2 linked regions of the Yarrowia lipolytica genome follow. The protein of the gene in region 1 interacts with the protein of each later gene in a pairwise test. Links are inferred from orthologs where the notes say so. Each region holds a gene or a part of one and is shown in the gene's direction. Other genes may lie near its edges.

Region 1 (7,288 bases):
TGGCAAACTTGGCGTGTTTCTGGGCCTGTTTGATCAGAGCGTCTTCGTCCAACACAGTCTTGGGGTCGACTGGTTTGGCCACAATCTTTGCAGGCGACGACACCTTTCGCTGCGGGCTGGGAAGAGTGGGTTTGGGAGGAGCCACGTCTCCGGGGGGGTTGGAAGGAGGAGCAGGAGGAGTGTTGTCTTCGGGAAGAAAAGTCGGAGGTGCAGGAGGAATGCTCGATAGGGGGTCGTCATTATCGTGAGATGATAGTGCCTTGGAGGCGTGAATTGAAACCTCTTTCGGAGACAATCTCTTGTCGAAAGGATCCACAGAGTCAGCACCGTCGTCAACGCCAGCTTCCTTCTTCATCTCCGCCATCATTCTTTTGATTTGTTCCTCCTCGGGCAGCTCTGCCTCCTCCTCTTCTGTGGTTGGTTGTTTTGGAGCAGTATCTTCGTTTCCGTCATCAATGGCGTTGTCGATAACGTCGTCCTCGTCCTCGACAGTGAATTCGTTGGGGTCTTCTCCGGCCTTGAGAGTTCTGAGGATTCGAGCGGCGTGGAACTTGGCATACTTGATCTTATCGACAACGTCCTTGTCCAGCTCTCCAAACAGCTTGACCACCTCAAAGAAGGTGGCCGCGGCAAAGAACATCTGCGCCGTGGCCTTGGTGCTCGTCTTGTCCCGCACCTGCTTGTCTGCCCGGGCAAAGATCTTCAGGGCAAAAGCCTCCACATACGAGCTGGCCACCGTGTCGTCACTGATAACAGCCTGGCCCTTCTCCGACACCAGAACCGGATCCTCCTCCTTGAGCTTCTCAATCTCGTCCAGCAAATTCCCGGTGAAGATGGCGGCTTCTGTGTCTTTCTGATGCAGACCCTGGTCGACAATCTGCTGCGCCGCGTACAACTTGCAATGGTACGAGATGATGGGGTCCGCCGTCTGCGTCTCCTTGGCCTTGGCCAGGTACGGCGTGATTGGTTTCAAAGAAGCCGGAGTCGTCATTTCAGCTGCTGGAGTAGTTGTAGAGGTTGTGTGGCGTGTATCAGCATCGTATGTATAGATAGCAATTGAGTTCAAGTGGCACATGGTGGAACGTGGGGGTGAGGAGTGGAAATAGTGGGTGCAATAGTGGTGTAAGAGGTACGATATTTACATTTCAGAAGTCTACGAGTTGTAAGGAACAACATGATATCGTTTTATATTCAACAGGATGACAACTGATAACCTTGACAACTCCGCGTGGTGGTACTAGTATGTACAGTAGGTACATCGTATCTCAGGAAAATCTCGACCAACTGACCACTGCAATCAACATACAAAGTACCATCATATCCCCAAACATGAACATACGAAGACATGTTACGACGCCGTGAAGATCGTGGGGTCCCGGACGTTTTATTTTCGTCACGTGACTCTCCTCTGGCGTGTGTTTTGATCACTTTTGTGTCTACTTGTACAAGTACTTGGAGATATACCCTCCTCCCTAGTTAACCATCATACAGTAAGTAGCTGTACAATATGTACTGTACTAATTAGTAATATTCGTGAACATTCATTTCAAAGGTTATTCTTTCACAGCAAAGTTATAATTAAATGAATGTATATGCAGAAAAAAAAATTGTACTTTTACAATACAACATTGAGCGTTCAGAACGGCATTTCTGAGAGGTTAAGACCACGAAAGCGACTCAAGTCGAAGGAACTCCCTCTAAAAAGCCCCATGATAAAGCTCAGCTCAAGTTGCCGTACAACTATCTCCTATTCTGCTACCCTACGCTGCCTGCCTCTTCCCACCCACTTACGTAATACAATCTAGGCTTGACCCTTAATAAACGGTTATAAATGGACGCATCAGTGGAGATATTGAAAAACGGGAAAACGGAAATTGCCTTCACGTGACCCGCTCTACTCGGTCTCCGCCGACTCGACGCCCGGTATCTCTTGTATCGGCTTTTCTACACGGGTTTTGCCGATCTCAGCCCAACACAGGACTTTTAGAGTTGCAACGCCAAAACCAATAACGGGTTAGGTGTTTCCATTTGCGGGGTTATTTGTGGAGGAGAGAAATGGAAAAATTGCCAAAATATCGAAAAACCGCGAGAAAAACAGGGAAAAAATAAGTTTCTGGTAGATGTCAAATATCTCTCTCTTATGATGCAATCTCCTCCCAGATTTTGTCTCTTTTCATCAAGATAATTACCTCAGGTTTGTTGGTTATGCTATCACTAATTGAATGGAAGAAAAGCGGCTCCAACATGTCCAATAATCACGCTAGAAACAAGAGAAGAGTCTTGAAATGCTCGGGCAGTCGTGCCGAGCCCCATCTACTTCTTTTATTCGCGCCACCTCTTCCCCCGCCCCCCACAGCTCCCCTCGGCAACTCTTGCTACTTATACTTCCCATGCACGAATAAGCCGCCAAAATAGAGTGAGCAAGTGTGCTGAATGGGTGGGTTAGTGGAGGGAGCTACGACAGGGCGTTTGTGACTGAATGCGAAATATTTTGGGGGCGCGACACAGAGCAGAAACCAAAGTATATATATGTGTGTGTCTCCCGCGGCTCGGCTCTGTCGCCCGCTGGGCTTGTCTTTTTTGTGTCCATGGGTTTTTGGGCCTGCCTCCCAATCACGCGTTACCCTCCTACGCGCCTGAGTTTAACTTGCAATCGTGACTCTCTGCACGACGACACGGCCGAGACGATACTGTGCCAGTAATACACCCCATTCCACGGCTCTAGCGACACGTCTACAGCGACACAGACACGGCCCTCGCAACTAGCGCCATACAACCAGCGTTTTCCCACGACCGATCATTCCCGTGACGCTAAAACCAGCTCCACAAAACCCTGTACACCCTTGCTCCACGACAGTGCCCTGAGGTACCGACAGAAAAAGAAGCGCTCAGAACCACCTCTGGACAGAGAAGAGCTAGCTACACGACTGCGACTTTGCTCGAGCTCCGCTAGACTCGCCGACTTGTATTTTTTCACAACTGCATTCACACCACATCTGTTTGCCCCAGAAAAACTGACGCTCAAAGACGTTCACGACACGCTACAGGCGACAAAGACCATTGTTCATCCACAACCATGCCCGACGTGAAACACGAATCCTCCACACCTGGCATGTCGCCAGAATTGTACACCGCCGTTTACTCCGGAATCCAGGTGTTTGAAATGATGGCCAACGACGTGGCCGTCATGAGACGACGCACAGACTCGTCGCTCAACGCTACCCAAATCCTCAAGGTGGCCGGCGTGGAGAAGTCCAAACGAACCAAGATTCTCGAAAAGGAGATCCTCACCGGCGCCCACGAAAAGGTCCAGGGAGGCTACGGAAAGTACCAGGGAACATGGATCCCTTACGAGCGAGGCGTCGATCTGTGCCGACAGTACTCAGTCTACGACGTGCTGCAGCCGCTGCTAGCTTTTGATCCCGCCCAAGTCGGAGACTACACACCTACCAAGGAACAGGCCATGGCAGCCCGCCGAAAACGGATCGTCGCTACCAAGCAGCAGAGCCGAATGGACATGCCTCTGGCGCAACCCCTGCAGCTTCCCCAAACACACACCCCTCTCTCTGTGTCTGCCGAAAGAGCACTTTCCATGCTCGGCAACAACTCCATGAGCAACATGAGTGGCTCACCCAGCATGTCTAATATGGGCACTCCTCAGATTGGCACTCCAGGCACAGACTCAGCGTCTCCTCCAGCCAAGCGTTTCAAGTCGGAAACTAACGGACACGGACATGGTGGCCCTCAAAATCAGGGCCCCCAAGGCCACCAGAGTACTCCAGGACACATGGTTCAACAACAGCAACAACAACAACAGCAGCAGCAGCAACCCAACCACACTCTGGAATTCGACGAAAACCTTCCCACAGCAGACCTGTTCTCCCCGACGAACCTCCCTATGGACCCTCTTCCTCCGGATGCACACAATGACGCGTCACGAGATATCATGACTCAGCTGTTTATGGGCAACGGAGCAACGAGCTTCTCGCCGGCCATCAACGTTGACGTCCCCATTGACGATATGGGACATGCTGCTCTTCATTGGGCTGCTGCCTTGGCCCGAGTGGATGTTGTACGGGCTCTGGTCATGCATGGAGCTGACCGACGACGAGCCAACTACGCTGGCGAGACGGCGCTAGTTCGAGCTATCCTTGTGACCAACAACTTTGACTCCGGCACCTTCCCCCAGATGCTGGATATCATTTACCCAGCCATCCCCCTACTAGATAAGCAGAACCGAACTCTTCTGCATCACATTGCCCTGACTGCTGGTATCAGAGGCAGAGCAGCAGCTGCAAAGTACTACCTTGAGTGTCTGCTCGAGTGGATTGTGCGACGGGGGACGTCGCCGAAGCGAATCCGGTTCTCTTTGGCGAGATTTATGCAGGAGATTGTCAACGCTCAGGACAAGTACGGTGATACTGCGTTGAACATTGCTGCTCGAGTCGGAAATCGTGCGATCGTGACCCAGCTGATTGAGGTTGGTGCAGATCCCATGATTCCCAATCGAGCTGGACTTCGACCTGTTGATTTCGGCGTCACTATCAACCTTGCCGAGGTTAAACCCATGCTCTCGCGGTCAGGAGAACGAGTGGGCTTCTCTGCAAATGCCGAGACGCGGTCTAAGGATATTCTGCAGACGATCATCTCGTCGATCGAGGGTCTGGACACGGATTTCTCGTCTGAGATGGCTGGACGAACTCGAGCGGCTGAACAGGCTCATGCCGAGCTCAGGGGAGCTACCAATGCACTTTCCGAGGCTCGACAGCGACTTGAGCACCTCAAGAACCTTTCTTCCAAGCGAGACGCAATGCTGAAGCGAGCAACTAACCTTGAGCGGGCTCTTCACGACGAAGATGCCAAGTTCCAGGCGCATTCCGGCGGTGCTAATATGTCTTTCGAGGGTAACTTTGACGCTGACCAGCCGTTCCGAACTCGTGCATTGTTCCAGGCTCCTCGAGACAAGGAGTGGTCTGTGCAGGAGATGAACTCGATTGAGGTCCCCTCCCAGCAAGTCCTTCAGGCTCGTGTGCGAGCGTACCGAAAGAACCAGGCTGAGCTGGAGCGAACGTCTGGAGAGCTCAGAGGCAGATCGACCGAGCTGGAACACAAGTTCCGACGGGTCATTGCTCTGTCCACTGGTGTTGCCGAGGATAAGGTGGACGAGCTGCTGGAGGGTCTTGTCCAGGCAGTGGAGAGTGATTCAGGGGAGGTCGACATCAACCGGGTGGCTGGTTTCCTGAGAAAGTTGGAGCCTCCTCAGCAGGCATGACTGCATCAATTTTCGTTTTGAAAAGAAACAAACAGCTCACGGTATGGGCTGTTCTCAGTGTATAATCGTGTGTAATTTTTATATAATCACGGCTAATGAAATTATGTTAATGAGATGGCACTGGCGTCGTACCAGTAGGAAAGATATCAACATACCAACATACACTCCACAATGCTGTGTAGAATAATAGAGAATATAAAAGGTCGATACAGTCGTGGCTACCGACACTGACGTCTTTCACGCCCTCATCTCGAATGAAACAACTCTGCGTCTGCCTTCCCTTTTCCCTGGCTGTCTATTGTTGCCCCGCAGGACCCCTGTTACTAAGTACATATAGTTGGAGTTTATTTAGGACATGGGGTGTCTTTATATTGGGATGTAGAGGATATAGAAAGAATTTGAAAGCAGATTCTGGATATTCCAATCAACACCATTCTAATGGTACCAAAAAACCTCACCTTTGTATTACAATAATCGCCATTTTCCGACGCCCCCACTTTTTCCAAGGACAACACATGCATAAGCGAGATTAAGATTTGGCGATGGTGCGTATACCAGCCTCGACAGAGTCTCTTGTCTGCTACTTTCACTACTTGTCATATCAGCATCATGAAACTGTTGAAGTATGCCGCCGCGGCGCTCTTTGCGTCCAGCGTGGCTGCCAACGTGACGGTCGAGCTCAAGGCTCAATGGCAGAGTGACTTTCTGCTGGAATTAGTGTGAGTATCGAGCATGGCAGGGCGGCGATCTTGCGTGTTTGGTTTGGCTATGAGTTCTGGCAGTGGACTGGATCAATTAGTGGTGGCCAATACCAGTGTCCAAGACTACATGTCACACAGGACCCAGTATGTGCGACAGTCCAAGGTACATGAGCGACTTGAGTCAGGCAATCTGGATCTAAATGATGGCCTCGGAGAGCTCTGACTACGACGATGACCTTAGCAGGTTATTGGACAGAGACAGTACTTGGGTGATTGTGTTAAATGTTGAGTGACTCAGCCATGGAAGAGGCGATCAGTGTAGACAAGCAAATCCCCGGACCGATATTGGCCTGTGTCTACCATCCTGGCACCAATGGACGGTATGGATCCAAGGTCAGACGATTGTTATCGGAGATACGAACCAACCCGGTTCATTAGATCCTGCTCCCCGACGACCTCCGGTAGATTCGATGGAGAGTACTATTTCTCTCTACCTGACAAGTTCGCGCTAAAGATCATCACCGGAGTTCACACCAGCAAATGGTCTCCCCCTCGCTGGACTGACAAAAAGCTGATCTCAAGACTCTGTCACCATTAACGTACGAGCTGCCGATATTCTGTTGGCTGTCGACAAAATTGTCCATCGCCTTTCTAACCCAGTGAAACCCTTTCAACTGAACACACCTACTTTGATTTCATCAATCACATTGCCGAACAGGTCGAGGATGGTGCCAATTATACCGACAAGGAATGGTACGACAACCTGACGGCCTTTGCGGCCTCCAAAAGCGAGATCTCCGACTTCCAGAAATCTCTGACCGACGCCGCCCTGGCCTTCCGGCGAGAATCTCCTCTGATTGAGACCTTCTACCAGCTCGGCGACAGCCAGGAATCCGAGTGCGACATCTTCTTCACCTACAATGGCAAAAAATACTGCGACTCCAACGATCTCTTTACTCTCAAGACCACCAAGATGCCCAAGAACCCCAGTGTGTACTTTTTCGACCACGTGGCTCGATCCGTACAGGCCAACAAGCATCTTAAGAACATCCCCGTGACCGTTCTTTACGCTGATCTGCGATCTCCCGAGTTCCCTCTGTTCCACAAGATTCTGTACCAGGAGGCCCAGGATGGAAAGATGGTGTACATTCTGCGATACCGACGATCAGACCGATCTGAGCGAGTTACCATGACCGGTTACGGTGCCGAGCTGTCCCTCAAGAAAACTGATTACCTGGTTCTTGACGACGACGCTAACACTGAGAAGCTGACTGACAACAAGAACCCCGTCTACACCAAGAGGGAGCTGCAGAAC
Region 2 (6,517 bases), on another chromosome or scaffold:
TTATTTTCTTCCTTTTCTGTTATCCGCTGTGCTGAGACTGAGACGCAAAAAGGTTCGATGAGGGGATCGATTACTGCGAAGAGCCTTGGACAAAAGTTTTTTAAGCAATTTGTTTAGCGTCTGCTTGTAGTTCGGCACACGCGTGACCCAGCCAGTGGCGCAGTAACCGCAGCAACACGCCCGCACGTTTACCGTTTCGACGGAAATAATGGGGCCACCGAAACCGCCGCTTTTGCCTGCGCAAAAAAAATTCAACTAGCACTGCAACATAACATATATAATATCGATAAAAGAGCTCGCCAAAAAGCGCTATGTTTTTCGGGTCTGCCTTGCTATGCTATTTTGGGAATCCTCCTGCCTATTTGGGTTGGGCCTGCTTGTGCCAGACCACAGCAGTAGACTACAGTAGACCGCGATATATATTTCATCAAGGTACAGTACATACGAGAGTTAGAATAATGAGTAGAATAATAAGAAAGGAAAATACAAAGCTTGGGTACAGCACCGTTACTCTTTGCAGCATGAGGCAAGCCTCCCAAATGCGCGACACAGTTGACCGCCGAATGCTTATCAAGACACTGTAGTTTCAGACCACATCCAACACATCGGGAAGAAGACCACCGAGCTGGGCCTCGGAAGAGCTTCCTCCAACGTTTAGATTGCTCTACGGAGGTACACACCACAAGAGTCTTTTAAACATATGGCTTATGGTTATTTCCTACATTATTGAGACGTTTAATTTCCGACCGACGGACCATGGCCAGTGCATTCGCTACAGTATGTACATACCACGTTTCATACATAGATGGGTCGTAGACTCCAGTGATGATAACAATGACATCAGTTTAGGTACAATGAACCACTGCGTGCAATCACAACGGACCCTTCCTCCCTCTAAAACCACTGTGATAGTCTACTTGTGGGATCCCCTCATATAAACCCCATGACGAGCCAGATAAACACCGCAATCCGAGCAACTGTAACTTCGTACTATTCTGCGTTGGATGTGAAGTGAAAGTCTCGAACAGTCGCTTGTGGCAGGACGGCGAGTAGGAGTTAGAGCAGTTCCATATGACCGGATATCTGAGAACAATTCGCGCGAGCACACGGGTACGAATACGAGAGATATCAACCACAACCTGGCAGTGGAAGACTTGGTTGCTATAGCTAGACTTCGTATGACTGATAGCAATGACAAGTATGTACAATACTGTAGCAACTAACAAATATGGCGATAATGGACTGCAGTAAATAGCTACAGAATTCTGCTCCGAAACTCACTGAGTGTACAAGAATCGGTATTGGTGTTGTATGATGGTAGAAGGTAACCATTGTAATGCATCTACAAAGACTTTCAACGACGACGAGGATCCAACATCCAACTTTTTTATCACACACATGTTCCACGATAAGTTTCCTTCTATAGCTAGTCAGGCACCACCAATTACTACTTGTAAAATAGAATGGAACTCTCAACAGAAGCTACTTCCACGGGCACCTGTACTTGTACTGGTACAGTTCTGTCCACGTGATCACTTACATTCGAATGAGAACTTGTGGCGACACAGAGAAAGCAACCAAATCATCCAAGTACGTACAAAGCCTGTCCCCCTACGTAAGCCGATTGTACTCAATTCCATCACCGCCACTCGTCTACAGCTACTACTATCTCCACCTACAATCCCCTAGATCAATCATCTCCTAAAATACATTACTAATCGGCAGAATGGCGGCTATCAAGCGGAACTTCACACATGGTAGCCATCTGCAGATCGGGGAAGGTCGTGGCCTTCGGTAGCCAGCGCTCGCGTTCAAACATGGACACAAACACGTCTAATATCGTCGTCCTCCACCTCGCTGTCGCTGGTTGGGGTTGTTGCTCTGGTTGTTGTAGTTTCGGTTGCCTCGTCGGTTGCCAAACTGGCCGCCCTGCTCCAGCTGCTGCTGTCGCTGTCGCTGTTCCCGCTGCTGGCTGTATTGTTGCTTGATGCTGTGCAGTAGCTCGTCTGGCAGCTGGAGAGCCTTGATGTTGGAGCCTCGTACATAGTACTCGGACACGGTGGCGGTGTTTTCGCCCGATGCAGAAAACTCTTCGACCTCCTTGAGCGTGAGGTTCATCCAGTGGTCACATTTCAACAGGTGGCCTCTCAGGGACTCGCCCGATTTGAGCTCCACCAGCATGGGCTGACCCTGTGCTGCGTTGAGTAGGGATAAGGGTAGCTGCGTTAGTCATGGTCTGTCTGCCCACGGTTGGGCCGGTGCGTATCGCATCGAGAGGGGCCCACGTGAGCCCCAGGACGCCTGTATCAATACTCACCATCGATGTGGATTATGGTGACAGTTGGTGCTGGCGGTGAAAAAGCATATTTTGGGGCTAGGGTTGGGTGATGATGGTTTAGGTGTGTGCTTGTGGTGGGAACTATTACGTAACCTGAGCTGTAAGGACTCAGGTGCACACCAATTGGGAATTGCCGCAGGGATAAGACGATAATAGAAGTAAGGCGGAGCGCCAGGGGCAGGCCATACGAGATTTATATAGAGAAAAAAAAAAGCAACCCTCACACCCACGACATTCATTCTGTCACTGCCAAACAAGTATATATTTATATATCTCTAACCGCTGATCTGGCTCCCTCCCAGCTGGGACTCCAAATTACCCTCGCTACGATACTGCACACCCAGCCCACATACGGCTTTTCTCGTTGTCCAAAACAGCACATAGGGTAACTCGAAACCCGAAACCCATTATTGCGCCAACGCGACACGACGACGCACTACGCGACCATGTCCATCTACAAAGCAACGTATTCGGGCGTGCCCGTCTACGAGTTCCAGTGTAAGAATGTGGCCGTGATGCGGCGCAAATCCGACGGCTGGGTCAACGCTACCCACATCCTCAAGGTCGCTGGCTTCGACAAGCCTCAGCGAACGCGGATTCTGGAAAAGGAGGTCCAGAAGGGCGTCCATGAAAAGGTCCAGGGCGGCTACGGCAAGTACCAGGGCACGTGGGTCCCCCTGGAGCGGGCCAGAGAGATTGCCACGCTGTACGACGTTGATTCACACCTTGCGCCCATCTTCAACTACGACGACGAGGATGGCTCACCTCCTCCCGCACCGAAACACAGACCCAATCTGGAGCGCAAGAAGCGGACCAAGGTGACGGGATCGCCTCTGGTTCGCCAGCCCAGTCGCATGGAGACTCTCACCCAGTCAACGGGATCCACCATGGGAGGCACTCCACAACACTCTAGACAGTCGTCTCTCAGCCAACTGGCCCAGTCTTACGGACTGGACGACAGCGACCACGTGACTCCATCGCCTCCCACAGTTGCTGACGATTCGTCCGACTTCATGTCCGATGAAGAAGTTGACCGACAAATGGGTAACTACCCTCGACCCATGATGGCCAAGCCCAAGCCAATACAGGTACGGGACCCCAAGGATCTGTACACCAACGACCTGCTCAACTACTTCGTGTCTGCTGACGACGAGAAGATCCCCGCGTTCCTGGAAAACCCACCTGCAGAGTTTGATGTGCACAGACCCATTGACGAGGAGGGCCATACAGCGTTGCATTGGGCTTGTGCCATGGGCCACCTGCGGGTGATTGAGCTGCTGCTCAAGGCCGGATCGGACGTGCGAGCCACCAACATGTTTGGCCAGACACCTTTGACGAGGGCCATCATGTTTACTAACAACTACGACCGAAGAACCTTCCCTAAAGTGGTGGACATCTTGCAAGACACCCTGTTTCAGGTGGACGGCCAGGGCAGAACCGTGCTTCACCACATTGCCCAGCACGTGAGCAAGTCGCAGTCCGCGGCCAAGTACTACGTGACTATCTTGCTGTCAAAAATTAGCGAGAACCACTCTCTAGGCGTACTGTCACAATTCATGGACACGCAGAACAACGAGGGCGACACCGCCCTGCATATTCTCGCCCGTTCAGGTGCCAAAAAGGTGTCCCGTGCCCTCATGGACTTCAATGTCAAGACAGATATCGTCAATGCCGACGGTCGAACTGCGCTGGATCTGCTGGAGGGCGACAGACAGATGCAGCAACACCCGCCGCCCGCCATGGCACTCCACCATCAGCCTCCCTACCAGATGCTGCACGAGAGCGAAACTGCCATTGCCGCACACAATCTTGCCGGAACCGTAGTGCACAACCTGCAAGTGTTGGCTCACGCCTTTGATGCCGAGCTCAAGGAGAAGGACGCCGACGTGCAACAGGTGCGCCAGATGGCCACCAAGATGGAGGAAGACATTGCCGCTACCAACGAGGCGATCCGGGAGTATGAGGCCAAACATGGCACCGCCGAGGAGCTCGAGAAACTTGCCTCTGAGGCTGAAGAGCGTGTGACTACACGGGTGAACCAGCTACGCAAGGTGTTCGAGCGGTCACAGGCGAAGGGCCTTGCCATGCTTGTTGCCGAGGAGGAGCGGGAGATATCGCGTGAACAGACCAAGGGCGAGTTCAAGACCGCCAAGGAGCTGACAGACCTCCAGCATGGACGGAAGGATCTTGTGGACGACGTGGTAGAGCTGTTCGCCAATGCCGGGGTTGGCGAGAAGATGAACGAGTACAGACGGCTGGTGGCCATGAGCTGCGGTGTCAAGGTGGAGGATATCGACGGGCTTCTTGATGGAATCGAGAAGGCTCTGCTTGAGGGAGAGAGATAGTATGGGTCGGTCTAGGACGATGTAATTTAATGTACACTACGAGGTTATCTACTTGTGTATGTAATCTGACAGCAATATTTGGTTGTTTATTCGAGCTTTAGCCCCGCAAGATCATCTCCCAGAGACTCGATCTGTATTAGTTCAATCTCCTTATCAATGCTGGCAGTGGCAACGTAGCCATCACCAGCACTAATGCATCGCAATCTCGAACCTGCCACGTTTATCTTTCGCCACGTAGTCTGGTTGAGCAGTCGCACCGAGCCGTCGTCTCCAGCAATGGCGAGAGTCTTCTCGTCCAACCAACTAAGGCGTCCCAGACTGTACTTGTCTTGAGGAATCAAAGTAGGGAAGGAAACAACAGTGTCGTCAGACTTGACAATAATGACCCTTGCGTAGGGCGTATGGCTTGTGAGACAGGCAATCTCCTTGGTATCGTTGTTGTAGACCATGTCAAACACGGTGAATGAGTGGGGCATATAGTGGGCATCGACCAGAGGAATAGTTCTGAGCTTCTCCAATTGGTCGGAGAGAAGTTGAATCGAGGTACAGTCTTCTCGAGACACAGCCAGCCCATTACGAGTCCATGCAATCGCTGTGGGGTTAGTCAGTGAGTCAATGAACGCCACCTGTTCAAAGCCAACCTGCTTCGTGACCACCACCTTTTTATCGAAGCCAATGGACGCAATCAGTCCATCTTCAGAAACAGAGATTCCTCCGACAAACCGAGAATGTGGCTTGAAACTGCTGGGTTTGTATTCTGAATCCACCTGGACAATGGATCCATCCATGCATCCCACCAGAGTGGTGTTATTGGCTCCAGCAACGATGACTCGTCCTACAGCCGGTAAGGTGAGGTTCTTGACTTCCAGAAGAGTAGTATTGTAAAAGGTCAAGTTCTTGGTCGAATCTGTAGTGACAACTCTGCCACCGATGAGCTTTGTGTCCACAATCATGTTTTTCGACTTGGTTGACAGCACAGTCAGGGTGACGTCTTCCTCCGTGACTACATTGTCGTCTTTCTGTTCCTTTTTCGGCAGGTAGGTCATCAATCTGGGTTAGAAAAGGCAGAGAAAGGATGTACGCCACGAGAGGACAACATCGGGTTTGTCACTTGAAAGCACTATTTCGTCTATATCGTACTCACTCTTCAATGGTGACAGGTTCATCTTTGATATCACACTCCTCTTCAAAAGCAGCCAGGGTCTGGGTTAGTATCAAAGGGAGAACGATTGCGCCGTCGCATCACTCACATTGGTGTATCCCTTATCTTGGAGGTATTTGGCAATTAATCCATCCATGTTGTATGTAATCAGAAAAGGTCTAACCGTCACCAAGCTGCATGCCGTGATCTGGGTATTAGTAAAGTTTATCTAACCTGGAGTACCAACGTCAAGTAATCAGATTAAGAGTGCAATAAGTACGCAATCATGGTCACAACTACGGTACAGTACGCATCCAGTACATACAGCAATAGTACATAGTTGTACACAACAGTAACTACATTAAAATACACAGCCATAGTACAGTGTGAACACTACCGACATTCTCATTCTGTCCAAGTTTCAATAATTTTATTATCACCATACCCTTACCAGTCTCCCTTAAAATACAATTGTTAGCCAAACAGCTCATGGGCCCGTCGTCGGCCTCCTCCTCTTCGACGTCCGCCCTTGTCTCTCTCATCTCGAGGCTGGAACCGTGACGCCAGATCCTTGTTGTCTTCTCCGTCCATGTCAGTATCGAGTCTGGAGGCGATATCCTGTGAAGCATCGTCCCGTCGTCTCTCTCGTTTTTGGTTTTCTCTCTGTCGCGAAGACCGGCTCTCTCTAGGAAG

Evidence for each region.
Region 2: the proteins of YALI1_C17820g (region 1) and YALI1_A20855g interact in binary tests that used the Schizosaccharomyces pombe proteins (3 or more experiments, as listed by UniProt). The link is inferred for Yarrowia lipolytica from reciprocal best matches to the Schizosaccharomyces pombe genes cdc10 and res2.

Annotation. Positions count from the first base shown.
Region 1 is NC_090772.1:1,778,949-1,786,236, forward strand, and holds YALI1_C17820g (uncharacterized protein), read left to right. Parts: upstream 1-3,076; coding exon 3,077-5,272; downstream 5,273-7,288. Other genes in the region: YALI1_C17800g (uncharacterized protein), read right to left, coding at 1-1,075; YALI1_C17848g (uncharacterized protein), read left to right, coding at 5,882-5,991, 6,634-7,288. UniProt on the Schizosaccharomyces pombe protein: Major component of the cell cycle transcription factor complex MBF (MCB binding factor, also known as DSC1), that controls G1-S phase specific gene expression. Involved in the control of rRNA production, via interaction with pol5.
Region 2 is NC_090770.1:2,082,652-2,089,168, forward strand, and holds YALI1_A20855g (uncharacterized protein), read left to right. Parts: upstream 1-2,784; coding exon 2,785-4,683; downstream 4,684-6,517. Other genes in the region: YALI1_A20839g (uncharacterized protein), read right to left, coding at 873-1,242, 1,291-1,400; YALI1_A20849g (uncharacterized protein), read right to left, coding at 1,834-2,220, 2,318-2,320; YALI1_A20884g (uncharacterized protein), read right to left, coding at 4,770-5,729; YALI1_A20902g (uncharacterized protein), read right to left, coding at 6,299-6,517.